6 linked regions of the Oryzias latipes genome follow. The protein of the gene in region 5 purifies or fractionates together with the protein of the main gene of each other region. This does not show direct contact. Links are inferred from orthologs where the notes say so. Each region holds a gene or a part of one and is shown on either strand. Other genes may lie near its edges. The genes, in order: mepce, wdr77, patl1, sart3, lsm4 and prmt5.

Region 1 (5,294 bases), on a different chromosome or scaffold from region 5:
CAGGGGGCAGGTATATTCTTCGACAGGTACAAACAGCGTCTCATCTTTGCCGCTTGCTGCGTTCTCAGCTGTGCTCTCGTGGGAATCTGCCGTGACACTAGAGAAACTCATGGACTCTTTAGAAGAATCGAGAACCGAACAAGAGCCTTGCGTACCTAAAAGTTGTGTGGAGGAGCTCATTTTGACCTCACTTTTTGTCGATTCGGAGTGGTTCGCCTGCGTTATTGGAATCCCACTACCAACTCCGCCTCCTCCACCACCCCCACCATGATGTCTGTTGCGATGCCTTCTTCTTCCTCCGCTCTTGTAGGGGGACACCAAAAAGCAGTTGTCTGCTATCCCGCTGTTCAGGTTCAGAGGATCAGTTATATCTCTCGGAATGAGGATCTCCACTGGATCTCGACTCTTTGCAGGAAGTGGAGAGGATTTTGGTGTCTCTGCGTTAAGTGCCCTGTTGACCTCCTCATCCAGGAGGCTGTTCAGATTAAGCGGGTCAAAAATGTTGCCACCCAAGAGAAAGTTGGTGGGCAGGACAGAGTCACTCTCGGAGATGGCTCTTCGTCTCCTCTTGCTCGATGTGGGATGTTTGAAGTTAGAACTGGCTGTGTAGCGCCGCTTGGTTAATTTCGTTTGCTGTTGCTGTTGTTTGGAGTGAGGGAAGCTGTTCCTGCGATTGATGCTGTTCTCGCTCCCTCTGGCTTTTTGTCCCGCGCTGTCTGTGCTCGTGTGCTTTGGTGAGGCTGCAGTGCCCGGGACAGGACAGGCAGCTGCAAAGTCATGCGTGGCTGCATTTTCCTCCATCATCACGGACACACTGCTGTAACCTCCAGTACAGTCTGAGAGCTGCAGAGATGGCGTTGACCTGGCCTCTAAACTGCCAGTTTTTATGGCGTCCTCCTCGACAGACATCTCTGTTAGTTTCCAGAACTGTTCATTGAAACTTGTTTGTCCTTTGTCTGAAAACAAGGAAGAATACAGCTGTTAAAGGACCATCTGATCTCTTATAATCCCTTGAATAAAACACCGTAAACATTAAATTAAGTTCCAAAAAAGTGCCAAAACAACCGATAGGTAGATTTTTGTTTAATTGCATTACAAAGAATGCAAAAAAAAAAGACAATGATAATTGATGTTTTTGCCAACAAAAACTTTAAATACCTAATCTGATGAAAGTTTTTGTGGCGTTTTTCTAACAATGGAGGACAAGTATAAAGACAATATAGCTAAAAATTTTGTTTCTGAGTGTTCCTTTATTCCAGTTGTTCCAAATCAGGGGCAGATGAAAAATGCCATTGGAAAAAGCTTGAAGCTGTGATGTGAAACCTACAACGACAAGCAACAAATTTATTCATCCTAGATAATGATATAGGTTGTTTTTTTTTGGACTAAAAACGACAAAATTTTAATTAAAAGACCACTGAGAACACTTTTTAAAATAGACTTTAAATAAGTAAAATCATAATTTGGGATGTCATCTGCAACATGCTTTGGTCAAAAATGCTAGTACAGACAAAACATCTTTCTTTTTTAACCACACTGTTCCTGCTTGGTTCATGGTAGCATATAGAGGGAGGTTCCACCCGTCTCTGCTGCTCTACCTTATCAGAGATACATAAGGTTTATAGCATTTGTGCCACCTGATTAGAAGGCACAAATATTCCTCATGCACTTCCTAACAAAACTACATTCAAACTTAAACTAACAGAGAAGGGACAGAAGGTCATCATATTCTCCAAAACCAAAAATACACCTTTAAGATGTGACGTTGCTATTGTTGTTGCTATTGTTTTTGTGCCTGTGTAGAAGAAACATGTTTGTTCTTCCACTATTCCTACTGTTTAGAGCCTAAAAGAAAGGTTAATGCTTTTGTTGTTGTTTTCAATTGAAGAGTTAACTTTTAAAAAAAAAAAAAAAAAAGATGACAATCCTATATTTGTATATCTACAACTTCCTGGATAAACATTTCTGCAACTTCATAATTCATTATCAGCTTTACATTAAAAAAATAGATTTGGATGTTACCAAAACTAAAGTTTGAAGTTCTCAGAAAGTGGTTTTATAAAACTGTAGGATATTGTCATGATGATGTCATTTGCAAAAAAATCCAAACAAAATATTTGGATTTTCAGTGTTTTCGGTTTTAGCCTTATTTTAAAATCATGCAAACTGCATTATCTATGATTGATAAAAAAAAAAAGAATTGATTTGAGATTCATCGACATTGTTTTAAGGAAACTTCAATCTGTTCTTTATGGTTGCATGCATTAAAAGTCATCTGGGGAGTCAGTGTGCAGATTCTGGCCTCCATAATTAAGTCAGGAAAGTAATAAGATGGACAAAACGAACAGCAAATAAAATCATAAAGGAGAATCCGGGCATATTGAATATATAAAACATATAATTTTCTTAATAGTAAATAAATTACTTTGTTTTTAGCTGAGTGTTGCATTTTATTATATTAATTTTAAAGGTCCTACGGTCCGCGGCAGATTTTTCGTTAGCATTGCCCTCCTGACAGGCTGACATCTGAAGCGTGTCCACTCGGAGGTTGCTGACCTGAGAAGTTTCTGAGTCAGAGTCTGGAACAGTAGTTTGGGTTAGCATGCTAGCCCTTAGCTCCTCCATCGTGGGCCAGAGCTCTGAAAACGTCGCCTAAACGTTTAGCTCTGGAGCAACAGTGGTGATAAATAAACGACCAAGTACCCACCTTCATGCGCTGACGGGTGAATCCAGAACAAAAATAAACAAACAAATCCCAAGTCCGGTACGGGAAAGTGATACTATGTCCCAGATGGCCGCCGAACAGTGTGGTCACCGTCAGGATCCCAGTGTCACCCCGCGGTGGTGCTCTCCCCGCCTCCGGCCGGGCCGTCTCCACCCCGCTCTGCTTCCACTCAAGCTAACGTTAGCCTAGCTAGCACCCCAGTGTCTCCGAGCCCAACGGCGCTCACGGTTTACACGCAAAGCACGGCCTGTACCCCACTAGGTCTCTCTTGTTTCCCCCACTGCCTTGTCGACTTGTTCGGTCAACTCCAGGCGGACAGTTTGGTGAATAAATGACAGCATTCGCTGACGAGAGTCGGCATGGCGGCGCATCCGGGCTTCGAGTTGTAAGCTTAACGTGACCGGGGCGGAGATCTGTGAGCTCGCGCAAGGTAGTGGGAACTCTTTGCCATTAGATTCAGACCCCTAATCCCAGAAGAGGCCGCGAGCGAGTGGAACTTTTAATGACAGTCAGCAAACACATTTTAATGAACAAACTTGGCCATTGTTTTGGTCTAAAAACGGGACTATAAAGGCACAGATGCCCAACAACACAAAGTAGGTCCACATTGAGCAATTCTGCGGCCCTGACCACCCTCCCACCACCTCATCCTTCATCCATCATTTTAACAGTAATCTCTCATCTTCAGTATATTAGTAGCACTTTTTAAAGCATAAAATAAATCTTATTGTCAAGAGAAAAAAATTATAGCAATACCATTAATTATCTTCTGTCTGTCTGTCTGTCCGTCCTTTAAGTGAAATAATGTGATAAAGTGCTTAAAAGTTTGGAAAAAGCAAAATTTCTAATAGTAATAGATTTAATTTCAGATCTGTAATTGAACGAGAGTATAAAATAATACTGACTGTCAAACACCTCAACAGTGTGTGTTTAGATTTGTTTAATCTTTTGCAGCAGCAGTCAAATGAATAACCTTTGCTTAATTCTAAGTCATGGAACAGATCCACAAGTGGCCTCCTCAGTAACCTGCTCACAACTTTACTTTGGATTTTCTTGAAAGGAAGATTCTTAGCAGAATTTCAGATTGATGTAACCTTTTACATTAATGCATGATCGCTGCTTATAAGAAATTGGCCAAACAGTTGTGAGATGCTGTCTGATACAAAGCTGTGAAAGTACAATAGTTTCCTGTAATATTTGTAACTATCTAACTTGGGAAAATAAAGTGAATTTAGGAGTTATGAACTTTCTCATCATTTTATATTACATTTGTTTTCTTTTTGTAAAGGGCTATTTCTTGATTTATAACAGCTTTCTTTTACGGCAGCAAATTTCAACACTTTCAAGCAAATTCATTACAGTTAGCAGCCTGAAATGCTTAGTTTGAAGCCAAAAGACATTTTAACACATTTTTAAAAAGTGTCTCAAATTTGACATTTAGCTGATGTAACAGCTATTTCTAAATTAAATGACCACAATTAATTTTTCATTTTACCACGCATGAAGTGATATTCATGCTAACACAAGCACAACTTTCTAAGTAGCAAATGAAAACATTAAATATTTGCTTTGAATAACTTGTTTTTTTTTCTTCCAAACCCTTTTTTTTGCATTTGCTACACAAAGCTCTCCCTGTATTTTGATTGAAAATCATCACTCTCAACTGTTTATAGATCAAGCCATGTGATTTTCTGTCTTACAGCCTTTATTACGTTGAGGGTAAAATCAAAATAGTTATTTTTTTAAAAACAAATTGGCAAAATATATGGAAGGTACAGTAACAGGTAAATGAAAGAAAAAAAATCAATGACTACAATAAACTATTCTTTCTTGCAGTAGCATGTTTTTTTGTACTCTACATGTTATGTATTTTTATTGTTGTAGGTCAAATGAAAGTGTACAACTACAGTTGTACACATAAGCTTTAGGGTTGTTTTCTTCTACATACTTCATATTTCCAACACAATTATGAAGTATTTCTGGTATTTAAGTCTATTTGGGTGTTAGTGTGAGATATGACTGCCATCATGGACACCTTGATGTTGCTTCAGTGACCTTTTACATCTGTTTTCTGAATGGCCACAAGGGGGCGATCAAATCTTTTTTTTTTACCATTTTTCTAAACAGTTTTATCCTGCGTTTAACACTGGATGTTCTTTCAGAATTTAATTTTTACGCGTTTTTTAAGGCTATATTAGTTTTCCCTTTCATCGTTGTAAGTAAACAGACTCGATTTTGATTTGTAAAATAAAATATCACTTAACTTTGGATGTATATGTTGAGTTACTGTAATTGTGACAGGCACCAGCACAATGTTTGCATGCCCTCCAGAGGGAAAACTGCTTATGTGCATGTGGTCAATCGAACATTTCAAGTTCATAAGTAAATTCTTATCCAGAGTAAAATCCTCCAGTAATATTCAATAAATGCTTGAATGCAGCTGTAACATCAGTGTTATCTCTCTGTACTGTAGGCCTGGTTCTGATGGCTATCACAAAACCCCACAAAACTCCACAAAAACAGAAATTCAAATCATTGCATCAATTCTTAAAACAATAATACAATAATA
Region 2 (5,164 bases), on a different chromosome or scaffold from region 5:
TTAGGTCACTATTTTTGACACAGTAAAATGTATTCATCCTATTAATTTGTGAAGTCCTGGTGACAGAAACGATCAAACTCTTCACCGTCACAGAAAGAGAAAAACATGCGGCTGCTGACTGACAGCCTGCAGAAAACAAATCTGAAAAACCACAGAAGCCAGAAGAATCTAAGCAACTCGTCAAGCCCCGTGGGAGGAAAGAAAAGGATCCCCAGGAGCCCGAATGACCACATGCTGACAGAAGACATCATTTCATACTTGGCCACAGGAGACGAAGAGGGACGGATCTGTTGGGCTGCAGGTCACACAGCTGACGGGCCGAGTGTGAACTGGACGGAGAGAGAGAAAGTGTTTGTCCTTCTGCAAACACCACCGTTGATACACTTCTAACACACAACTCGACTTAAAAATCATCATTTACACTCCTGGTCAAAAGCATAAACAGGAGTGCTTTGCCACTGAAGGCTCTCTTACTGTTGTAGGTGGTCACAGCTGCTTCCTGACTGAGATCCCACACTTTAATCCTGCATTGAAGAGAATTCATTTATTTTAGGAAAAATATCCGAGTCACAACATTTCCACGCTCCTAAATCTTCCAGTCGGCTGTCAGTGAAATGATTGTGATGTCATGACACCCGGATGATGGCGGATGTATGTATCAGAGGATGTTCGGTTGGCCGTTCTGCATGTCAGTCAAATGCTGAGGAGGATTATTTGCAGACAGATTTTTTAAAACATATTTTTATCTAATGTTTTTTTTGATGGCCCACGATTTACCCACAAGTCTGATGAGTTAGAGGATGAATCTCTGCTGTTTCAACACGACTGCACTTCAGAAAGCAAAGTTCATACGGACAAGAACACCAGACTGGTGAAGAAGCACTAGCCTAGATTTGTTTTAATTCAAGCTTCTATTTTACAATTTGTAATGTTTCAATATTGTGTTGGTGTGTATTCAGACTGGAAAAATCATTTGGTATGGATCGAGGCCTGAACCTTGCATCTGGTCTGTATTCAGGCTCCCGTCAAGCGCCTCTTCACCCACAGGCCAGGAATTACGAGGGCGGGGCAAAGCAACTAGAGACAGAAACTACGGAAGTCCTCCAGTTTGCAATCCTTGTCGGGATGGTTCACTTAATAAAACTTTATATTTCGCTCATTCGTTTTTGGCGCCTGTATTAACATCAGGAACAATTCTTTTTACTGCTCCTTTGGTACGGCGGAGGCATCCTGCAAGACGCTTACTGGCAAGAAGATGGTACGAAGGTACGACGATGAGGGTCCACTTGGGGGGATTCAGACTGAAAATTTGGTCCGGATTATTGAGAGAAACAAACTCTGGTTCACTTGAAACGGACCAAAAGTGTCCAGTCTGAACACATCCTAATGTTCTTTTGAGCTTAAAACTTTTCAAATGATCTTTTTTTATTTATTTACAATCTGGTTTTTCATTCACTAAGCTGATCCTGATATGAACCCATAGTGGAAGTAGTTGTAGCAGTAAGGGGTGAACTGACATCACATCAAACCCTCAGAGTTCTGAGTGGATACTAACGTTTCAGCGGTCTAACAGACACGGCAGTCTGACCTGCAGTCCATGCTGCCGGTGACGGCGCCGGTTGCTCCAGTGGGGCTCACGGTCGTCACGATGTGGTCGTGCTCGTGTTTGGTGAAGCGACTAACCAGCAGCCGCTCATCTTCTGCCAAATCCCAGAGCTCTAGAGCACCTGAGGACAAGAAGCAGTTCTGTCCAAACACAATCCTGCCAACCAACAGAACACTGCATCCCTGTCTACTGATGTCAATCTGTCCCAACACACTTAGAAGTACATTTTTCTTACACACGGATGACAGCCTAATATTTAATTCAGTGACAGACCTGATTCCATTAAACAAAGATGCAGGACGGAGGCTGCTAAGGGACAAACAGGCGTAGATGCAATCACTGAACTGTTATTCTGATTCACTAAAAATGTTGGAGGAAAAAAAACAAATGGAAAATACAAATGAAGCCAAAAGAAAGAAAGGAGAAGAAATACTATGACATCTAAATGTTAATAAATAATAATATTATTGGGGAGAATTCTGGCTAAGTTAATAAAGTTCTATAATCCGATATAAAATATGCAATTATTACTGGAAAAATCTGAGAACTTAGAAAATCCGTCCCTTGGCCATAATCCTGCGGCCCGACTGGCTCCATGGGATGTTTGTTCCACAGTTCAAATCAAATTAAACTTTATTTATAAAGCACCTGTCATACATCAGTAAAACAAAGTGCGTTCAATTTAAAAATAAAAACGTTTCACTTAAAACATCCCTCTGAGGAAAACATGAATTTTGCAACAAAATGTTAAAGAAATAAAATATATAAGGTAAAATCAGGGATTAATACGAAGATAAATAAAACTTATTAGATGAGAATAAAGTAAAAATGAGTTAAAAAAGACAGATAAAAATGTGGAAAAAGGATAAATACTTAAAATAATGTAAAACAGCAAATGAATATGTTCTTACATTTGAAGGAAAAGCCAGTTTAAGTTATAGCAGAATGTTTGTAAAGTATTGAACATTGAGTTTTTAGTTGTCAGGATCATTTGAGACGCACCTGAATCTGAAGCAGCAACAATGGCCTTCTCAGTGACCCATTTGACATCAGTGATCCCTGCCTCCGTCTGCACGCCAGCCCTGCAGAAGCCCTCACTGGGGGCCTGCTCAGGCTCCCTGTAGATCCACACAGACCCCTGCCAGGTCCTGCCCGAGAGGCTGGAGGCGCCCAGGAGCAGCGTGCCGTCTGCAGAGGACACAGCACGAACGTGGGAAGCAGCGTTTCTAAAGGTTACACACCAGTTTACAGCCGAACTAAAGAACTGAGCTGAATATATCAGGACACCAACAAACCCCCAGTCCCATAAATGAAAAGCACGTGGTTTATGCCTGTGACCCACGGTTAGCGCCTTCTCTCTTCCTACCTGCTCGGTACTGAGCCGCGCACAGATGCTTCTCCATGCACGCCGGAGCGTTTGGGGGAATATTCCACCGATTTTCCTTGATCATATTTGTGTCGACTGCACTGTTCATCCAAAAAGCAAACTTTAGTCTAGTTTCCCACTAATTCAGATGTGGTTGTCCGCAAATCAGCTACACAACCGTTAACGCTAGCTAAGCTAGCTGCGGCCAAAGAAAAGCTCGTATTTTCTGTTTAGGCAAAATAGAAATATACACCTAAAACGCATACGAGCTTAAAATAACATTTCTAGCGAAAACAATGGATACGTTTTCGCGTCCCGAATGAATGACAACGAAATAATAATGCATTAAACACGTGGGACCGGTGGGGAAAAGGTCCCTTAGGCGTTTGGAGGACTTCTTCGTTGGTGTTTATTGTTCTTTTCCTCTTGTGCGTTTCCCGTCTGCACTGCCCCCTGCGGGCAGAGAAGGTGAACTACAAGGCTTCATTTCAATCAATATGAGAGCTTTCTGTATTAGTGGGTGTGTTTGGTCTGGCACAGGCGCGGGTTGGTGGTGGGCAATGATGATTTATTGTGAGTGTGAAATGTGACGGGATCTAACCAGGTTTTAAAATGTTTTGTTTAAAATAAATTATCCACGTTTAAAAAAAATGTGTTGCTTGGTTTTATCTGAGTACTTGTTCCAGCAGATGTAGTTGAATAAGTCAATTTGATTAACAACTAGCCTCAGACAGATCAATCTGGTTGAATCGTAGGAAAGCAAATCGATTAAGTCGATTAATTGTGCCACCCCTGTGACTCGAACAGCTTACAGTGACTGAGTTTCCTGTACTTTGGGATGTTAACATGATCTGGAAGCAAAAATTGAGGTGTCTTTCTAACTGAGAAATAAGTATGAAATTCATTTACTGCCCATCCATTCAGAACAAAGAGGTTGGGACAGCAATGACATGGTGGAAAATTCAACACAAAGTCCAGCCATCCATCCATCCATCTTCAGAACCGGCTGAATCCATTTTGCAGTCGTGAGGTTGCTGGAGCCTATCCTGCTACTGTTGGGAAAAGGTGAGGTACACCCTGAACAGGTCACCAGTCTGTTGCAGGGTCCCACAGGCATGCACACAGACACCTAAAGGACTATTAAGTCATAAAACAATTCCATGAAGCGTGTTCGTGTAAAACGCATAAATAAAAGGACCCAGCTGGGGTCTGAAATGGATAATTTTAGGAATTGTCAGTAAACAAATGTACAAAGCTTTCATTTATACATTCCCAAAAATCCCCAAAGAAATTACATAAGGATGCAGAAAATTTAAAAACGATCTGGATTATATGGTATAGAAGTTATACATTTGTAAAGCATGACAGGTCAATTGTATTGAGGGCTGTAAGCTGTAGCTTTGTGCTATGTACACCAAGAAAACACAAAGTTTTTTAATTGTGTTCATTAGGACACAGTGAGCCCGCATACACATATGTGCTAGAGCGTAGCATCTCTGTGATTATTGTTTGATAAATTTTAAGTTTTTACATATGAGAAGGAGCACGAGAATCACTTGTGGCTCACAAGGATCAATTTCTGCTGTTTTGCACAAATATTTGTTTTTTTCTTTATGTGATGGTCAACATAAAAAATTGTAAGTATATATTTTAAACTATTCTTATTTATTCATTCTGTTCAGTTTTTATGTCTTGCAGATTTACCTTCATTTATTATAGCCTATTTAATAAAAAACAAGTTTTTTGTACGTTTGTAAATAGTGCTGGTAAGATTTAGGCATAACCTAGTGGGATTCCTAACGTTATTTCTATTTTAAAATTTCTATTGAAATTTTATCTTATAGTTTTTATAAAGAAAACAAACAACTATGACTATTGTTATCCCCTAAACGTGTTTTATTATTTTAGAAAATCGATGATCCCCCAAAGATGCACAGTTTGCATGAGCAATGGTGTTCTGCTGAAGCTAAAAACAAACCAGAAATGTTGAATTTGATGTTTGATGGAACAGCTTTTGAGTGTGATTTCCATGTAATAAAGATGCGAAGCCGCAGAAGCCGAGGTTTCATCCTCCAGACTTTATTGTGAAAGAGCAGAGCGGAAGTGATGATTAGGGATAATTTCACACTAGTGCTCTTCTGTCTGAAATCGATATGTGATTGGCTTTTCTCGGTTTAGGGTCTCGCGGGTCT
Region 3 (4,089 bases), on a different chromosome or scaffold from region 5:
GGTGAGGAGACAGCTGCTGAGAGAGCAGGAGGGGGAGGAGCTTCAGCACGCCGCTGACCCACCCCACCCCCATGGAAAGACGGCGTGAAAGCGAACCCTGCTAACTGAAGCAGTGGGTGTGTGTGGGAGGGAGGGGCTGTCAAAAACAGAACCGCAGGTGGGGGGGGGGGCAGCCCCACCCATCTGCCAATCAAAAAGGGTTTTATTCTGTCTTTTCAGAAGCTGAACCAAAGACTCCGCCCACAAACTTCAGATTCTCCGTCCACCTCGGGTCCTTCAGAATTAGCTTAGGAAAATAAAAGCTTTGACACCCATTTTTACAAAATAAAAGTCTTGAGAGCACATCTGAAGGGGGGGTTACCTGATCCTGCTTGTCCTTCTTGGCCAAGACGGGGAGGTTGCGGGCGATCGCCATGACGACGGCAGCGGCCTGGGGTGCAGGCAGGAAGGGGAGGAGCCTACCCATGAGGCGCTTGCCTTTCCTCACCGACATGATCATCACGCACAGGTCGTCGCTCACTCTGAAAGAGAGGGTAACGTGTCAGCCACGCCCCCACCCTGCAGCCACGCCCCCTCCCCCACACACCTGTGCTCCCAGTCCTTGTCCCGCAGGGCGGCGCTCAGCTGCTCCGTGTTGGTCTTGTGCTGCTCCAACAGGGCCGAACGCTCCTCCTCGGGGGTCTGCACGAAGCGCTTCTCGAAGTCCTGGACCTCCAGCAGCAGGCTGAACATCTGCAGACGAGGGGGGGCGGGGTCAGAGCAGAGCCTCACCTGCAGACGTGCACGCGTACGTGTACTACCTTCTCCACCGTGTACAGGATCTGCCGCCGTTTGTTCCACACCTGCTTCTCCCTCTTCTCCTGCGGGGGAAAGACAGAGCGTCACAAACCGACCCCCCCACCGTGAAGGAGGCATCGATGAAGCGGGAACCTCATCGTCCGAGCGGCTCGTCACCACGGCGTCGATCATCTTTCGGGGGTTGTTGACGCTGGAGACCGTCAGCTTCCCCAGAGAGCCTGCAAACTGAACTGTGGACAGAGGGGGGTCAGGGGGGATGCGTGCTGCCTGAGGAGGGGGGAAGGGCTGGGGGTGCTCACCTGGCCTGTAGGTGTGCTCCACCTTGGCGACCTGCGGCGTGATGAGCTTGGTGGCGTGCTCCTTCCTGCTGCTGCTGTCCTGCTCCTTCTCCTGACGCTTCTCCATTTTCTCGTAGTAATTCTGCAGAACCAACATCCGCCAGTCAACCTTCAGGGGGCGGGGCTAAGAACACCTGATCACTCCAGACACTGAAAACGATCGGATTCCCGCCAGACAGGAAGGTGACTTTGGTAATCACGCAGGGAGAGGTTCAGGTTTTCCAGGAAGTTCCCATGTCTGAAGCGGGGGAGGCCCCCAGGTGCCCCAGCGGGGGCCGTGGTGGTGGTAGTGGGGCGGTGCTGCCTCACCTGGTAGTAGTAGTCGTCCAGGTAGGGGTCGGTGCTTTGCAGCTGCATCATCTGGATCTTGGTGACCCACTCCTTCTCCTTCTGGCTCATCAGGTTGCTGTAGGGATCTCTGGGGCGCCGGTCCCCCGCGGTCCTGCCTCGGTCCCTATGGGGGCCCCAAACACACAGGTGAGCCGTCAAACGCCCGCAGTCACAGGCGGGGGCGGGGCTGGCAGACTCACCCCCCGCGGCTCTGCAGCCGCTGAGTGAGCAGGCGGCGGTGCTGCGGGTGCAGGTGGGTGGTGTTGTGCCGGATGGGGGGTATGGGCGGGGGCGGGCCCATTCTGTGGCCGTGTGGAGGAGGAGGGCCCCCAAAAAACGGTCTGAAACCGCCGCCCGGCAACAAGGGAGGGCCGGGACCACCACGATGAAAACCTGCAACCTGAAAATAAACAGGACGTTAAAATGTAACCCCCCCCCTCATCACAGGAGGATTGTGTTTGTGCCCCCCCCCTGCTGGTCAGGGGGGGTGATGAAGGTTTGAGGCTGTCAGGGAGGTGTTTGAATTGAATTGACCCAACCCTGGATTTGAACCCTCACCCTCCCGGAGACTCCATCCCCTCCTCACTTGTTCGTGGGGGTGTCGAGTGTGCATGTGCGTGTGCACGGTCGGTACCTGAGAGTTCAGCAGCTGGGCTCTCTGGATCTGGGACAGGACTCTGGGGGGGAACGGGCCGCGGCACAGCGGGGAGTTCTGCAGACACAAGACGTGACGGTTAAGGAGGGGAGCGTGACTGCGCAGACAGACAGACGGGCGGGGGGCACTCACTGCTATGTTGAGGAGGGTGTTGGGGGACAAGCGCTCGGGGAAGGGAGGGGGGTATCTGTGCTGGAGCGGAGCGCGCACGTGAACCGCCGTGGGGTGGTGGATCTACGGACACAGAGAGGCTCACCAGGACCCCTTCTTGGGGGGGCAGGGTTTCAGAAATGTTTGACGCTTCGCTCACCTGATGATTCAGGGCGTGGCTCATGGGCTGCTTGGGCGGAGTCCCTATTGGCACCGCCCTCACAGGAGGTGAGCCAATAACAGGGGAGGAGGAGCGTGGGGGCGGGACCCTCTCGGAGAGGTCCCACCCCTCCTCGGTCCTGCCCTGCAGAGGTCGTTTGGGAAGCCCCACCTCCTTGATGATGGACATGAGTGGGCTGTCCTGGGGGGGCACAGATCAGCCATTTGAGGCGCTGCAGGCGCATTTAAAAGAAAAGGGCGTCGGCTTTCCTCACCTCCATGTGTGCGGCCAAGGCGGGCGGGACGCCGACCGGTCCGAACCCCAGGCTGCTGTCCCAGATGCTGTGAGAGTTCATCTGAGGTCACAGGAAGACACGTTACAGCTGATCAAAACACGGCGAGCTGAGAGGGAGCGCAGGAAAACACGCCTCACCTGCGGCGTGGGGGCGGGGCCTCGGAGCAACAGCTGCTGCTGGTAGCTGAGCATGGACGCGGCGGGCGGCGCTGTGGCAGAAACATAAACTGAACGTCACAGCAGGTTTTTCCGCGAAGAAGAAAACCTTGGGAGGCGTGGAACCAGGGGAACCACCTGGGGAGGATCTGCGCAGACGCTGCTCACCTGTGACTCCGGGCGGCTTCTGGGGGGGGCGCGGCTGCTGCAGGCCGTGCAGGCTGGGAGAGGGGCGGGGCTTCTCTGCCGCTCCGACCCCGGCGATGGCGGGATCCGCCTCCAAGATGAGGCGGGCCACGGACTCGGCCAGCTCCCCCCCACCTGCTCGCTCGTCCGCATCTGCAGAGGAAAACGAGGAACGTCAGAACGCAGAAGGCCTGCGGGGCGAGGGAGGGGCAACCACACGACCTCGAGGAGGAAGGTCAGCAGAAGACGAGGAGAAGCCCAGGGAGGACGGGAGGGAGGGAGGGTCTGCAGAGGAGGGCGGGGGCTCTGCGCCTCCTGGCTCCGCCTCCTCCGGCTGCGCCGCTCCATGTTCGTCACGCTCGTCGAGCTCAGCCAGCCGCTTGTGCTCCTCCTGCCAGTCGTCATCTGGAAGAGGAGGAGCAGGAGAACAACATGATGAAGAACCAGAGGTGGGCGGGGCGACACGTCAGGCGCCGTCTTCAGTCTGAAACCCCCTCCTCTCTGAACTCCTCTGAATCTGCGGCTCCCAGCTGAGGTCTGACGCCTCCTCAGCTGCTCCTCGTGATAGAGGGGGGAGCAGAGAGGAGCCCATTCAGAAGCTCCCCCCTGAAAGGGGGAGGACGCTCCGAATGCTGAGGCTGAAACCGAGGTAAAGCCGGCGCTCAGACCGTCTGAGGATCTGAGTCCTGAACCCATGTCCTGATCGGGGATCAATAACGGTTTATCAGGAAAAAAGGCTTAAGCTAGTTTCCATTTGACAACCTGGACTTTTGAAACATGATCAGTAACTGATCAATCATATTGATCTCTGAGGCTAACCTTAAAGAAAACACAAAGATCCTGAAGTCCGACTCACCGATGGCTCCAGCTCCAAAGGTGTCATCGTTGAACTGATCAATTTCATCTTCCTCCTCTACCAGTCCATCGTCTTCCTCCTCCAGCGTACAGTCGTCATCCAGGGACTGCAGGAGGAAGAAACGAGACGTCAAACTCCACGGAGGAATGATGCAGATGCTCCGGTT
Region 4 (3,468 bases), on a different chromosome or scaffold from region 5:
TTTTGTGCACGAGAGCGGCAGCCCAGAGATGAAGATTTTGTGTTTCTCCAATGACGTGTTGTATTTGAAGATCTACAAAAAATAGACGAAAAAAACAAGTGTTCACCTATTGGCACACAATTTTACAAATAAAAAAAGCTGAAAAAAATATATATATACCACGTTTAAAAAGAAATTATTAACGTTTTATCAACAAATCTTAAAAACACTTAATATTAAACAATATTAGAACAAGCTGAAAAAGTATAAGCATCTAAAATAGTTTCATTTACTACAAGGAAACTAATAGCTTGAAAAAACATCTGATGTGTGTTTTTACAAACCTTAAAGTCTGGATTTTTGTTTTTATCTACACACGGTGAAACAAACATGGGCCTCCCCTCCACCTCCCGTCTGTCCAGCTTCAAAGCTTCAGTAACGGATGCTGGAGATTCAAACTGTACGTAGCAGTATCCTCTGAAGACTCCTCTGTGGCCGAAGATGGGGCGAACCTGGGCGATGGAACCGCAGCTCTCAAACAGCGCTTTGAGCGTTGCCTCTGGCTCCTGCAGCGTGAATGCCAGGTTACTGATGAACACGCTGCAGCAGTCGTCTCGGAGCTCAGACTTGTCGTCGATCTGCTTCTCCGCAGCGTCCCCGTGTCCAGGCGGGACTTTCTTCAGGCCGGCTGAAGGTTTAGTTCTGGGAGCGTTCCTTCCAAAGAGCCCGGTCTCCGTCTCCATGTACTCGTCTGTAGTGCCGTCTACATTCCCTCTGCGCCTTTTAGGCCCTTACAACATCATGGAAAAGAGAAACTTTGTGACAACATTGTCAAAACATTAAGTTATTTTTCCTTAAAATAACCTTTACCCGAGTCTTTGTTCCATTCATCCTGATCCTCTTGTTCTGCTTTTCTCTTCTCACCAGCTCCCCTCTGATCCTTTTTCAGACCCTTCTTTTCTGCCTTGACCTTCCGACGCTGCTCAACTCGTTCCTCCTCTTGGCGAGCCTGGTTGGCTTCTTTCTCAGCAGCCTGATTTTTGGAGGTTATGATCCGGATATGCTAACATTAGCTCCATGCGATGCTACCATCCTGTCCAACACACATCAACACCTTCCTACCTTGGCTCGTTGCTCATTAATCCGGTTCATCCTGGACTCAGTTTTCTGCACCGCTGTGTCCCAGTCCTCCAATGAACCTGGATGGAACCTTTATATAATTAATAACTCAATCTCTAACAGCTATGAGATCTTTAGTTTATCTGTTAGATAGTTCATCTCATATACCACTAACTGTATTTAACTTAATAAAGCAACAGAGTTGATTATATAATGCTGACATGAGATTGGAGGTGTAAAATTGTGTTACCATGAGACTCACCTTCTACCCTTTCAAAGGTGAGCAGGACGTCACAGACGTGTTCCGGATAGTCGGTGGTGCACTGAACTGCTCTGTGGAGAGCTTTCCGGCAGTGAACAGAGTCCCCATAAGATCTATGGTTTTCAGAGAAAGCTTCTTGTCACTGCTGCAAAGTGTTTTTCTCTCTGGATTTGGGGGATTACCAAACAAACCTTTCAAGATTGTAGTATTCCAACCACATGTTGGCATATTTGGAGTTCCCCTTAGTCATGATGTTATCCCACAGCTCTCGGGCTTTTTGCATGTTCTTGCAGTGGAGGGCCTGGTGAGGAACAGAAAAAGAATTTAATGCCAAATTAAAATCCCAAAATTTGAAAGATACTGTTCAAATATTCCAATCAAAACTTCCTGCTTCATTTTTCAACAACCAAATTCTCAGCTTTCACTTAATTTATCTTAAATTGTTTTATAGAATTCTCTTGGTTAAGACTTGAGTCCTATTTTATTTTTACCACCAATATAATATAATTTAAGATTTCACACTTGAATCTGGTTTAAGCAGTAGCACCAGTTACCTCTATCCTTGCCCAAATCTGCATGACGACACAGGAAGGGTCTCCACTTTCCCCAAATCCTGAATTTACACCGAAATATAAGTTAGTGATGAAAAAAGCTAAATGAGAACTTCAACTGACAAAATAAAGTAAATAAACAATAGATTTACTTACTTTCTTCAACATCTTGTTTCATGTAGTCTAAGCATCTAGAGAAGGCCTCTCGTAACTCCTCCAATTCTTTGCTTGATTCTAAAGAAAGAGTTTAAATGATTCCAATTTCTTATTTTACCAAATGTGACGAACACAGCAGCTCTCACCTTTACTGAAATCCACGCGCCTCCTCAGGTAGTCCAGGTACACCTGCCAGATTTCCACATAGTCTGTTGCTTGAATGAAGCCTGCATTCAGTGCTTTCTCAAAAACATCTGAACAAAAGACAAAAGAAGAAAATGAAACTCAAACACACAAATAAACTAACTGTCCCCATTAACACACACGTGCTTCCTCAACTTTAATAACTCAGCATCTTTGTAAAGAATTAAACATTTACAGCTTTTTTTCTAATATGTATATAGAAATAATAGAAAAAAAATTACTATTTGTTAACTTTAGCAAGTAACCAAATATTCTTTTATTTTGACTAGGGCTGGGCTATAAGGCCTAAAAATAAAATCTCAGATTTGATTTGATTTCCGATTTTCGGCTACAGTTAGCTGTTTTTTTGGTCACCGCGGTTTTGTTCGCCTCAGAGAGACTGGCCTTTTTCATATTCCGCTGGATGTCTCTGTTCCAGGTGTTGGAATAGGATTGTGGTGCTGCTGCCTTTGACTGCGATGGGCTTTAGGCAAGTGTTGCAGCATGGGGGGGGGTCTCTTCCTCCACGTCTGTGGCAGCAAACCCATACCAGTTCCAAACAACAGATGATTTTATTCCTTTCTTGGGAACAAACTTCCCACTCTCACCGGTAGCCATGTTGCCGCTTGCTGTTTCGTGGTGCTATGATGTTGTTGTTTGTCGCTTGTCATACTGCCGTGTGAATTAACGCTACAGAAGCTCCGGGGAGCCAAAAATGCACCGTTGCAAAAAAACTCAATTTAGTTATTTTTTAAATCACCCGTAACAAAAAATTCGAATTAATTCATTCGATTTTTCTCCCTAAATGAAAATTTCAAGGAAAAAAACATTTTCTTTAACAACTTTTTTCTCCTCCACTGTTTAAAACCATTTTAATAAGGAATTAAAAGTTAGTCATCACACATGTGGTAAATGTCACAGGTAATCAAACTGGTACCTGACACAGTGTGATGGTCTGCTCCATGCCTCTCTAAAGCCAGCAGGTAGCTCTTCCACAGACTCATGGTCCAGGGGCAGTTCCTAACAGCCCGCTCATGAGTGGACAGAACCAAGTCTTTAACCTTCAGCTGGCGATCCTAAAAGATCAAAAATAAAAGACAAAAATCTAAGCAACACTTTTTTTTTAATTATGTTTTCATTTTTCTTTCTTAATTGGCCAATTTACTAAAATGCTAAATAAACAGAAACAGGCAGCTGAACTAAAACAAATACATAGCA
Region 5 (5,405 bases):
GAAACAGATCCTCTTAAACAGCCGGAGACCCTCACAGCTGACGACTCCTTCTCCCACAATCAAAAGAAACCTGCCGTTCTCTCTCATCCTGCACGCTGCGTCAAACCCAACGTAATGACGCCATCAACGGAATGACGGCTACGGTGGCTGAGAAATGTCAACTTAGGGAAAAAACAAAAAGAAAAAATAAATAAATAAAAACTACACAAATATCCTATTTTAATACAACCAATTGTCTTGCCTGTGTTTTATCATAAAATAAGACTTTAATTAAGTACCAAGCTATAAATTAGTTGTTGCAAAAATTGCACCAGCAAAAATATGAACGTGTTGGTCAAATTATATAAGGATTCACGTAATTCAATTACATGAATCCATTTGGTAATGAAAAAAATTATTATTTTTTAAACCACTGTCACATTTATTTAGACTTTACCAAAACCAGACAGACCTTAATCATAAAATAGAATAGAACAGAATAGAATAGAATAGACTTATTTTATTGTCACTGTGTCACATGTACACGCAACAAAATTCCAGCTTTTCCTTTTTTATAATACAAGGAGTTGTGGCAGTGATCTATTCAATATTATTCTTCTCTTTCTTCTCTATTATCCTCATTTTATCATCATTATTTTTTTTAATTTTATTCTGTACTAATTTAAGGAATAAAAATGCATTTCACTGAAAATGAAGAAAAAATTACTGTATTATGTTTAGTCTAGACACTCATACCTAATGCGAACTAATCAGCAATGGTACAATCTGAAATTTGAGACACAGGATTTTGCTATAAGATATTATTAAGCGGTTTTATGCTTTGAAGGAAATGTTTGTGTATAGATAGATAGATAGATAGATAGATAGATAGATAGATAGATAGATAGATAGATAGATAGATAGATAGATAGATAGATAGATAGATAGATAGATAGATAGATAGATAGATAGATAGATAGATAGATAGATAGATAGATAGATAGATAGATGGATGGATGGATGGATGGATGGATGGATGGATGGATGGATGGATGGATGGATGGATGGATGGATGGATAGATAGATGGATGGATAGATAGATAGATAGATAGATAGATAGATAGATAGATAGATAGATAGATAGATAGATAGATAGATAGATAGATAGATAGATAGATAGATAGATAGATAGATAGATAGATAGATAGATAGATAGATAGATAGATAGATAGATAGATAGATAGATAGATAGATAGATAGATAGATAGATAGATAGATAGATAGATAGATAGATAGATAGATAGATAGATAGATAGATAGATAGATAGATGTTACACTTGGTCCTCTGTATTTATTTTTGAATTTCGTCACAGTAAAAGAACAAAAGAAAATGCTCCTGTGTTTGATAGATAGATGTTACACTTGGTCCTCTGTATTTATTTTTGAATTTCGTCACAGTAAAAGAACAAAAGAAAATGCTCCTGTGTTTGCGCATGTTTTGCGCTAGGGGGCAGTCATGTTTTAATAAGACGTGGCACCGAGTACGTAGAAAACGAAGAAGAGTCTGCGAGTAAAAATCGTGTTGCTAATCTAAGGCAGCACAAACATAACCTACCAGAATGGTAAGTTATTACTTACAAATGGACTATTTTGTAAAAATCACACACTATATAAAAATACTGACCTGTTCTTTGGCTTCAAAAATCCCATGTAACTGGTTTAAACATCGCAAATCAAGGCTAAGCTACGCTAGCAACCAATGCTAAATTGTTTTCTGCTTGTGGAACGCTGACTATACAAGTGGTTCTTTTTAAAATTATTTTCTATATAAATATATAAGGGGGGGGGGTCACCATTTCAGATACACGTTTAGTACTAAACTAAACACAAACGAATCATTATAGTTCGGAACAGAGCTTAAGTTTCTCCGCCGACACAGAAATACATTCAGACGTGTTCTTCATTTCTGAATCAATATTCCTTTTAGAATGCATTATTTTAATATATCATAGAGATCATAAATCGGACCCATTTCTACTATTTCGCAGCTTCCCTTGTCCCTTTTGAAGACGGCCCAGAACCATCCTATGGTAAGAAATAATTGCTTTTCTTTCCTCCTTCTATTCCTTATCTGGTGATTACTGGTTAAACCATTTTATTCAGTTACTTGTGGTTTTAAGATCAGGTTTTTTGTTTTGTTATTGAGATTGTTTGCATGTTTTTCTTTAAACAATAATTTTTGTGCATTTCTTTTTGAATAAAGAAAGAACCTTTTAGAAAACCATAATCACCAGCTGACCTTTTTTTCAATGAACTTTGATTTTTTTCAGCTGGTTGAACTGAAGAATGGAGAAACCTACAACGGTCATCTGGTTAGCTGTGACAACTGGATGAACATCAACTTGAGAGAAGTCATCTGCACATCCAGGGTAACAGATTTGCTCTCATGTTCTCAGTGGAGAACGATCCATAAACTGCACACCTTAAATAAAAAAAATTAGCTTAAATTTAACAGTCGCTTACCTGTTTCCTTCAGTTTTCATTCTGACTACCTTAGCCGTTTAAAGACCCACCCCAATTAAAATAGTGTATTTGTTTGGTTTGGTTTTTAACATGTTTTGTGGCATTTTTCTCATAATGACGGACATATATAAAGAAAGTTTGTAGGCAATTAGATCCATTTACGTCTTGGTTTTCCTCGTCTGAGCTGGCATCTGGCTTTAAACTGTACGTCTGTATAGCTTCAACATTCCCCACCAATTTTCTTGCACTTGGTGTTAGATTGGGGGTATGAGGGTGTGTAAGCTAGCAGGAGAGTGGAAACAAAGGGACCTTGGAAAATGCGGCAGGCTTTTTTAGGTATATTTCTAATGAACTTCTGTCACTCTGCAGAAACTGTCCTAGAAAACAAGACAAGTTTTTCATTTTGGCTTAAAGCTGCATAATGAAAAAAAACAAAATCAAAATACTGGGAATAGATCAAAAGATAATTGAAGTGAGCCTTTAAAATATAAAGACTAATGTATAATGAAGCAATGGTTTTAGTAAAACATCCTTTGATACATGTTGGAACAAAAACCTCAACGCTAATTTTTTTTGTTAGAAGAAAAAGGACTGATTATTGTTAAAGGCCCTGTACCATGCTATTCCTAAACCATTCATGGTAAAGAATATCCATATATATATTACCTTTGGCCCACAAAAGAAAGATTTTTTAAATTAAATATTAGTTACGTGGCGCAGTGGTTAGCGCAAGATCCCCCAGCCAAGTTTTGGGGACTTGGTTGCTGTTGGTCCCCCAGCCAACTGCAAGCCCAGCCAGGTCCAAGACTTGGCTGGGGGACCTGAAAAAGAACCTGTCTGTGTGGAGTTTGCATGTTCTCCCCGTGCATACGTGGGTTTTCTCCGGGGACTCCCACCTTCGTAGGTTAATTGGTTACCTTAAATTGTCCATAAGTGTGAATGCAAGTGTGCATGGGTGAGTGATTTGTGGACCTGTGACAGACTGGTGTCCTGTCCAGGAAGCCCCCTGCCTTCACCCATGAGTAGCTGGGATAGGCCCCGGCAGCCCAGTGACCCCAAAAGGGACAAAGCGGGTTTAGAAGATGAATTAAAAAATGATGAATGAATATTAGTTATTTTCCTGAGTTATTTTCCAACCTGGAAGCAAGACGACTGGATCTGAGGCACCGGCACTTCCATGATGTCAACCTATAGCCAGCATCAACAACATGTCTGTGTCTCGCCCACGAAACAAACAACATTCAAACTTTCGTAAAGATGAATGTGCATATTGAGCATGTAAAGAGAGTTTTGCCAAACACCACTAGCTTCATGGAGTGTGTGTTTTAGCCTGGGGGCGGGGCTGGCAGCGCAGACTCTTCCTGGAAGGGGCTGTTCTCACTTATCTACATCAGCTCGTGAGAACCCGCTTGTTTTTGTGGGTTAGGTGTGGCTGGTTCCTGGAGCACAGGTTTTTAGAGGAATTCTCAGAAATGCGTGAATGGGTCAATACTGGTTTGAGGTTTCTTTATAATACACCGGGAAGTTCAAAAAAGGGATTTAGCATAGACCCTTTGAAGTATACTGGTTACACTCATCGTTTGGTCTTTTTCCCACAGGATGGTGATAAGTTTTGGAGGATGCCAGAGTGCTACATCAGGGGAAGTACCATCAAGTATCTGCGAATTCCAGATGAGATTATTGACATGGTGAAGGATGAGGTGGTTTCTAAGGGTCGTGGACGTGGAGGTGCCCAGCAGAATAAGCAGCAGGGTAAAGGAAGAGGCGGAGCCGGCCGAGGTGAGAGGAAGCAACTTCTGCATTTGTTCTGTCATGATTTGCCTTAATGAGACTTAGATCAGCTTAAAATAAGTAAAAAATCCCTCTGTTAAAGCTTTTAAACACATCTGGTGAAACATCATCTTTATTTGTTTAGGAATTTATTATTCTAACTTGCTGAATTTGACATTTTTTGTGTCTGTATGTAGGTGTGTTTGGCAGCCGCGGCAGAGGGATGTCAGGTCCTGGTCGAGGCCAGCAGCCACAGCAGCCGGATAAAAAACCAAGCAAACAGCAGGGAATGAAGAACCAGCACTGATGTGATGTCATGGATCTTTCACATCACATTAACTGTTATTTTTGTTTCAGTACTTGTGGATAATTTAACTCTCAGCTCCTTTTTTTGCTGATATGTGATATGTAAGAGAACCAATCGCTGCAAAAGGTCACTGAGATGTTCAAAAGAGGCAGTGGTTTTGCACTGAGTTTTCTTTTTAGGTTTTTAAGAATAACCATGTTTGTGTAAAACCCAAGAGCTGATACTTTTTCTTTTTTTCTTTTCTTTCAAGAAGAATATTTTGTCATGAAAACCCCTTTTTAGTCACAAAAGTAATCTGTTGGTACAATTGGAAGTGTCAAATTGTTTATATTTGGATGTCTTTTTCTTTAGGGGTAGATTTCATGATAGACAATATTCCAGCCCCAGAATTCTCTTCATTTCTATTCTAGTTGTTGAGTGACATGGTTGGTGTGGGTTTGTTTCTGTCTTTCACTCCTCATTAGCCAATCTAAGCTGATAGTCAGCTGACATCCAGTCACAGATAAGTGACACGATTTGACCATAAGAATTTTTGTTTGAAAAACTCTTTATTTTTATAGTGATGAATATTATTGTAATGACATGAGAAACAATAAAGCAGTTTTTGTTAAAGACCATGTATGTATAAAATAGTCTTCATTTTTAGGGAACTGCCCCAAAAGTTTGTTACACCTGAAACTTTTTGTTTAAAGATCAGTTTGAAGAAATGAAGCACTGAAATTGTTATAGTAAAATTACTATTTGATTGCAGAGTGTAAAGACCTCTGTTCCTGTTTAGCATGTCCTGTATCCTATTTAAAGCATCAACACAAGTTCAGGCTCATGA
Region 6 (5,153 bases), on a different chromosome or scaffold from region 5:
GTGTGGATGTGGCTCAGCAGCAGGCGGGCCAGATTGGCATTGTGAGGGCCCGTCAGAGGGATCATGAAGACAGGGAGACCCAGGTATGCTGAGAAGTTCAGCTCTTGTGTCAGAGCCTGTGGAAAATTATAACAAAATAAACCTCCTAACCCCACAAGAGCTGGCAGTCCTCACAAGAGTTCGCCGATGCCTGAATGGAAATAAAGACCCGTTTCAAATGGTTCAAACTTGAAAAGAACTTGCCTCCTCTGAGTTCCGGCGCTCGGTCTCGATTTCTGAGTCTGCACAGATCCATGGAGAAAGCTTCCCAACAATGAGAGTACCCCAATCTGTAAGAAATATCAATCAGTATTCAGATTTTCTGTTGAACAGACAGTAAAATTTACATAGATCACTTCCGTTTGAGTGTTTTATTTTTTTTTAATGCTTGACTGTTGCCGCCTTGCTTTGAAAGGCAAATCGCGATCAAGCTTTATTTTTAAATGGCACTTTTCCTATAAAAACAAAAACACAAAGTGCTTTACATTAAAATAAAACATAAAAACAAGCATGAATATTAAAATAGAGCCCCCTCCCCTTTCACACCTTCCTGATGGGGATAGGCGATGTCAGCAGTAGGAGAGGCTAATATTTGGGACGTTCCTTTTCTGTGAATAGCTGCATAACCAGCCAAATGCAGCATCACAGGCGGGGACCAGCATCACCACATATCCTATGGCGTCCAGATGACCCCAACCTTAAGGCCCGTACACACCGGGACGAATATTCGCCAGGCGTTATTCGCCAGCGTTATTCGCCACGTTTTTTGTGTTCACACCCAGGCGATTTTCGCTGACGATGAGCCGAGTGAACCTGCAATTTCATTCCCTGACATTAGATGGCGCTTAATGTAAACAGAAATACTCCTGTACACAAGGTGGCGCTGCGCAACTTTACGCTTCTTAAAGTCGCTTTTCACTCAGAAGAAGAGAGCAAGTATTTACGCACTTGTCAGAATAATACAAAGAAAACATGAATATTTCAAGCACCAGTTGCTCCAACTGGTGCTTGGTTCGGGGATATTTTAAAATGTCCGTCATTATTTCGTTGTGGCAGTGTAGACGCTACTTGGCGTCTATCTTCTTCGCTGGCATGTGTGCTCAGAAAGGCAGTTTAATGTTTGAGCGCCCCCAAGTTGTGTTTTACTGTAACTTCAGAAGCTCCAGACACGTGTGCAAAAGCGCCATTCTCATTGGTCGTGTAGTTTTCGACGCGGCGCGTCAAACCAAAAAAACGAACCCGAGGCGTTTTTTAAAAAGTGACGCTTTGACGTGTGGCGGTTTTTCGCGTCGGTGTGCACACTCACATTGGTGCCCTTTGTTTAGTCACGAGGCGTTAAACGTCGGCGAAAATCGCGGGCGAAATTCGTCCCGGTGTGAACAGGCCTTTACATTGACGTGTTGTCCCAAAAATTGAGGTGATGTCAGCCCGCATCCTTTTCTTGGTGAAAACTTAACTCTTACATTAAAACACAACTCTGATGAAAATCGTGTTTTTAACTTGTTCTTGTAGCATGTTCTCACGATGGAGGACATATATTTTAAATATTAAACTTAAAATTGCATTTTTTTGAGTATTTCTTTATTCAAATTGTTGTGAATCAGGATCCCACAAAAAAAGCAGTTAGAAAAAGCTTGGAGCAGTAACATGGAAGCTACAATGGGCGTGCCACAAGCTCCCTGCTCTGCTCCATTCTGATGATTCCACTTGCAGACAAACAGATCCACGTACGTCTTTGTTTCCCTTGTCTGACCTGGCGTCTGGTTCAAAACTGTACGGCTGGACAGCTCCAATAATGCTCGCCATTTTTACTGCAGCTTTAATGTAAGCTAGCAAGAGAGAGTGTTAACAGAAGGGTGACGGGAAGTGGGGGCGGCCTCACTCCACTCCAACGGTACTACCCGCAATTCAGAGACAAATTTCTAATGAACTACTGCTGCAATGCAGAAACTACATCCTAGAAAGCGATAATTATTCTGGCTAAAAACGGCATTGTCATAATTAAAAGACCACTGGGAACGCTTTTACAATAGCTAAAAAAAGATGATCAGAGTGGGACTTTAAAGTTTTTAAACTTTTACAATTTCTAAGATGATAGATGTGACACACATTCTTGTTATTTTAAAGAAAAAGATTCCTCCACCTTTGAGTGACAGTTGTCCCAATCTTTATTTCTCTCTTTTGGGCATGTTTCACCTCTAGCTTGAAGCCAAATGGCTCCTGCGTTTAATTAACTTGTGGCTTCAAAACAGACTGCAACACTTTTTTTGTATAGGCCGATGTCATTCGCACGTATTTAGGTGTGATCGAGCACAAAAACTGATGGAAATTCATGTTGGCCACACATAATACACATGGCCAAATTACACATTGCTTAACATATTTTAACCCTGTCTTAATTACAAGCGAGTATAGTGACTTGTTTGTTTTTTTATCTCCATCTTTCCTTGTAAATTTACAAAGCTGCACATTAATAATTTAATGTGCAGCTTTGCTTTTACACCTAACATTTCTGTTAACCTGGAATTACAAAGGTCTCCATGATCTCTGGTCATTAAGGTTTACCACGACCACCCTGTTAGCTTTCCCAGACATATCCTAGCTACTGATTAGCTGGAGAGGGGACATTCTAACATCACCTGGTCCAGGTAATCAGCTGCAAAGTGGGGATCATGAAGGTCTTTAGGACCAGGGTTGGAGACCATAACTGCTGCAAACCACAAAACTACATTCCTGACTTTTTTTAGTTTTTATTTTAAACTCTTTAATATTTAAAATGATCTCAGAGATTGTTCATATACCCACCCAGCCCACACACGTGACAATGGAAACGGGCCTTGTTCTGAACACACGTTGTTCATAAGTAACACCCTGAGATGTAGATGACTTATTAAAAACACTTACCTCTTCCACACAGCAGCAGATCGGAGCGGGTCTGTGCACCGGGCCGAGATTTAGCTGGCTCCAACTCAAACTCCCTTGCGAATCTCGGATGGAATAAAGGCATGCAAAGGAAATCGAACCTGCACACACAGATCATAAGGGAAAACACTAGTATGAACAATGCGGTTACGATACTATACAAAGGAGAAACAAACGCGTCTTATATACGTGTTAAATTAAAAAAAACGAGATATGCCAATAACAAAACCAAAGGAACACTTTAGTTTAACACTTGAATCCAAAAGCAGAGCATCCTTTCATTCTGCACGTGTTGATACCTTGCCGGCTAGCTTAGCCTTAGTCATGCTAACAAGCAAGCACGCTAGTTTTCCTCATTTGATCCAAACACTTTTTTTATAAGACACAAAAATGCCAACTTCACCCAAGTTTCGCGACCGCGGCTAACGTGGCAGCTATCTCCGGAACACAGTTCATATCTCTCCCGCAGGACACCCTGCTGCCTGTACTGGCGGACGCCATGACTTCTGTCGACTGATTGAGAAGACTCTTCTTTCTGAGGCTTAAGGAAACTGGTGCCATCTTGGATCCACGAAGATCATCGTTCTGAATGCATAGTTACGCATGAAAGAACCAAAATGGCGCCGCCAGGACGTTAGTTGCATTAAACAAAATATCGCGAGACTCGTTATGGAAGAAATTAAATGAAAAAAACATGTTAACAGTAATAAATTGATGGTAGATATTTAAAAAAATAAAATAAAAATAAAAGAAGATTAAAAGCTAATGGGGTGAAATATTTACAAGCATCATCAGAGCACATTTAAAAGATGTATGATTAGCAGAAAACGGCTTCGCAGCAGATCAAATTAACAGCTACAGGTTACAGGATCACTTTCAGTGACTCCAACTCTGTCTGGGCAGGTGGCAGCTTTATGCAAGCTGTCACAGCTGCAGGAGGTATAAAAGGGGTAAATGCACCCAATGCTGAGAAGATCAACAGGCACAAGGTTGTGATCCCTGCCCTGCCCCGGCTGTGTTTAGGTCGATTTAGCATATTTTTTTAAATTCCATGCAAGCTTTTCAATCTGTGTAGAGAAATAATCGATCTTACTTTATAATTGAAAGGAAGACTAATAATTTTAAGGTCAGAATTGAGCATCTTACTCAATATTTATGGCTTTGGAAGATATTTGCAATTTTAAAGACAAGCCCACGCATAAGACTTTTCCTTTTTATGCTTCGGAAGATACAAGTGTCTCTGTTTTTACTGAATCTTTAAACTTTAAATGGAGAGGGGAGATGACATCTAAAAAAGCCTCTGATGTTCCACTGGAGTTTCATGTACCATCTTTGTTCAAGAGGCCTTCCAGCCGAGCGAGCCATTCAGTGTCGGTGCGCAGGCCTTTTCCTCTTTCGCATGGAACGACAACTCTGGGTTTTATCTTCCAAGGTGGGGTGATTGCAGCTGCAGACACACGTGCCAGTGCTGGGGGACTTGTGGCTTGTCCAGCTGTTCACAAGATAACCCCTATTCACTCCCATTTGGTGGTCACCTCCTCGGGCAGCGGTGCAGACTGCATGCTGTGGGAGCGCATCCTCACTAGAGAAATCAGACTCTATCAACTGCGGCACAAGCGTCGCCTCTCAATACGTGGGACTGCCAAACTCCTTTCATTAATGCTGCACCCTTTTAAAGGCACTGATGTATGTGTGGCTCTCACCCTGTGTGGCTGGGATAAGGCGGAAAGTACCAAGAACTTGGAAGAAACCTTAGGTGTGACTGACGATTGCTCGCCATCTGTTTGTAAAGACGTTCCTTCAAAAACAAATCTGCTGTGCTTTAGTGGCCCAAAGCTTATTTACGTGTGCAGCGATGGAGCCAGACTGCAGGGAGACATCTTCTCTGTGGGATCAGGTTCACCTTATGCCTACGGAGTCTTGGATAGGAGTCTGAGTTGGAGTTTGAATAAAGAAGAAGCAATCTTGTTGGCAAGAGAAGCGGTATTCAGGGCCACTCACAGGGATGCTTACTCGGGAAACAATGTGGACCTTTTCCATGTCACAGCCGAGGGGTGGAGACAGAGACAAAGGGAAGACCTGAAGGAAGAATATTACAGAGACATGGAAAAGAGAGGCAAGAAAATGGATGTAAAAACTAAAAAAGCTGCCAAAATAATGCAATGAAACCACATTTTTTCTTTGTATAAATT

What was found.
Region 1: the proteins of lsm4 (region 5) and mepce purify together in Homo sapiens (affinity purification with mass spectrometry; 3 studies listed by BioGRID and IntAct, with this or other methods). This does not show direct contact. The link is inferred for Oryzias latipes from reciprocal best matches to the Homo sapiens genes LSM4 and MEPCE.
Region 2: the proteins of lsm4 (region 5) and wdr77 purify together in Homo sapiens (affinity purification with mass spectrometry; 3 studies listed by BioGRID and IntAct, with this or other methods). This does not show direct contact. The link is inferred for Oryzias latipes from reciprocal best matches to the Homo sapiens genes LSM4 and WDR77.
Region 3: the proteins of lsm4 (region 5) and patl1 purify together in Homo sapiens (co-immunoprecipitation; 4 studies listed by BioGRID and IntAct, with this or other methods). This does not show direct contact. The link is inferred for Oryzias latipes from reciprocal best matches to the Homo sapiens genes LSM4 and PATL1.
Region 4: the proteins of lsm4 (region 5) and sart3 purify together in Homo sapiens (affinity purification with mass spectrometry; 4 studies listed by BioGRID and IntAct, counting the BioPlex papers as one, with this or other methods). This does not show direct contact. The link is inferred for Oryzias latipes from reciprocal best matches to the Homo sapiens genes LSM4 and SART3.
Region 6: the proteins of lsm4 (region 5) and prmt5 purify together in Homo sapiens (co-immunoprecipitation; 3 studies listed by BioGRID and IntAct, with this or other methods). This does not show direct contact. The link is inferred for Oryzias latipes from reciprocal best matches to the Homo sapiens genes LSM4 and PRMT5.

The regions. Positions count from the first base shown.
Region 1 is NC_019872.2:14,592,415-14,597,708, forward strand, and holds the start of mepce (7SK snRNA methylphosphate capping enzyme), read right to left. Parts: upstream 3,183-5,294; 5' UTR 2,708-3,182; intron 957-2,707; 5' UTR 910-956; coding exon 1-909. UniProt on the Homo sapiens protein: S-adenosyl-L-methionine-dependent methyltransferase that adds a methylphosphate cap at the 5'-end of 7SK snRNA (7SK RNA), leading to stabilize it.
Region 2 is NC_019863.2:2,525,775-2,530,938, forward strand, and holds the start of wdr77 (methylosome protein 50), read right to left. Parts: upstream 3,390-5,164; 5' UTR 3,082-3,389; coding exon 2,973-3,081; intron 2,795-2,972; coding exon 2,609-2,794; intron 1,728-2,608; coding exon 1,589-1,727; intron 525-1,588; coding exon 475-524; intron 330-474; coding exon 259-329; intron 1-258. UniProt on the Homo sapiens protein: Non-catalytic component of the methylosome complex, composed of PRMT5, WDR77 and CLNS1A, which modifies specific arginines to dimethylarginines in several spliceosomal Sm proteins and histones.
Region 3 is NC_019859.2:1,012,118-1,016,206, forward strand, and holds part of patl1 (protein PAT1 homolog 1), read right to left. Parts: intron 4,030-4,089; coding exon 3,924-4,029; intron 3,473-3,923; coding exon 3,290-3,472; intron 3,221-3,289; coding exon 3,050-3,220; intron 2,935-3,049; coding exon 2,864-2,934; intron 2,787-2,863; coding exon 2,706-2,786; intron 2,633-2,705; coding exon 2,432-2,632; intron 2,356-2,431; coding exon 2,254-2,355; intron 2,179-2,253; coding exon 2,101-2,178; intron 1,867-2,100; coding exon 1,667-1,866; intron 1,591-1,666; coding exon 1,446-1,590; intron 1,219-1,445; coding exon 1,098-1,218; intron 1,029-1,097; coding exon 931-1,028; intron 861-930; coding exon 801-860; intron 733-800; coding exon 587-732; intron 522-586; coding exon 362-521; intron 1-361. UniProt on the Homo sapiens protein: RNA-binding protein involved in deadenylation-dependent decapping of mRNAs, leading to the degradation of mRNAs. Acts as a scaffold protein that connects deadenylation and decapping machinery.
Region 4 is NC_019867.2:12,882,680-12,886,147, forward strand, and holds part of sart3 (squamous cell carcinoma antigen recognized by T-cells 3), read right to left. Parts: intron 3,327-3,468; coding exon 3,188-3,326; intron 2,322-3,187; coding exon 2,214-2,321; intron 2,146-2,213; coding exon 2,068-2,145; intron 1,974-2,067; coding exon 1,915-1,973; intron 1,662-1,914; coding exon 1,552-1,661; intron 1,474-1,551; coding exon 1,361-1,473; intron 1,179-1,360; coding exon 1,102-1,178; intron 1,013-1,101; coding exon 850-1,012; intron 770-849; coding exon 324-769; intron 73-323; coding exon 1-72. UniProt on the Homo sapiens protein: U6 snRNP-binding protein that functions as a recycling factor of the splicing machinery. Promotes the initial reassembly of U4 and U6 snRNPs following their ejection from the spliceosome during its maturation.
Region 5 is NC_019862.2:13,833,374-13,838,778, reverse strand, and holds lsm4 (U6 snRNA-associated Sm-like protein LSm4), read left to right. Parts: upstream 1-1,478; 5' UTR 1,479-1,598; coding exon 1,599-1,601; intron 1,602-2,027; coding exon 2,028-2,069; intron 2,070-2,309; coding exon 2,310-2,408; intron 2,409-4,100; coding exon 4,101-4,281; intron 4,282-4,469; coding exon 4,470-4,579; 3' UTR 4,580-5,196; downstream 5,197-5,405. UniProt on the Homo sapiens protein: Plays a role in pre-mRNA splicing as component of the U4/U6-U5 tri-snRNP complex that is involved in spliceosome assembly, and as component of the precatalytic spliceosome (spliceosome B complex).
Region 6 is NC_019875.2:17,818,652-17,823,804, forward strand, and holds the start of prmt5 (protein arginine N-methyltransferase 5), read right to left. Parts: upstream 3,472-5,153; 5' UTR 3,463-3,471; coding exon 3,365-3,462; intron 3,063-3,364; coding exon 2,944-3,062; intron 330-2,943; coding exon 244-329; intron 117-243; coding exon 1-116. Other genes in the region: proteasome subunit beta type-11, read left to right, coding at 4,117-5,127. UniProt on the Homo sapiens protein: Arginine methyltransferase that can both catalyze the formation of omega-N monomethylarginine (MMA) and symmetrical dimethylarginine (sDMA), with a preference for the formation of MMA.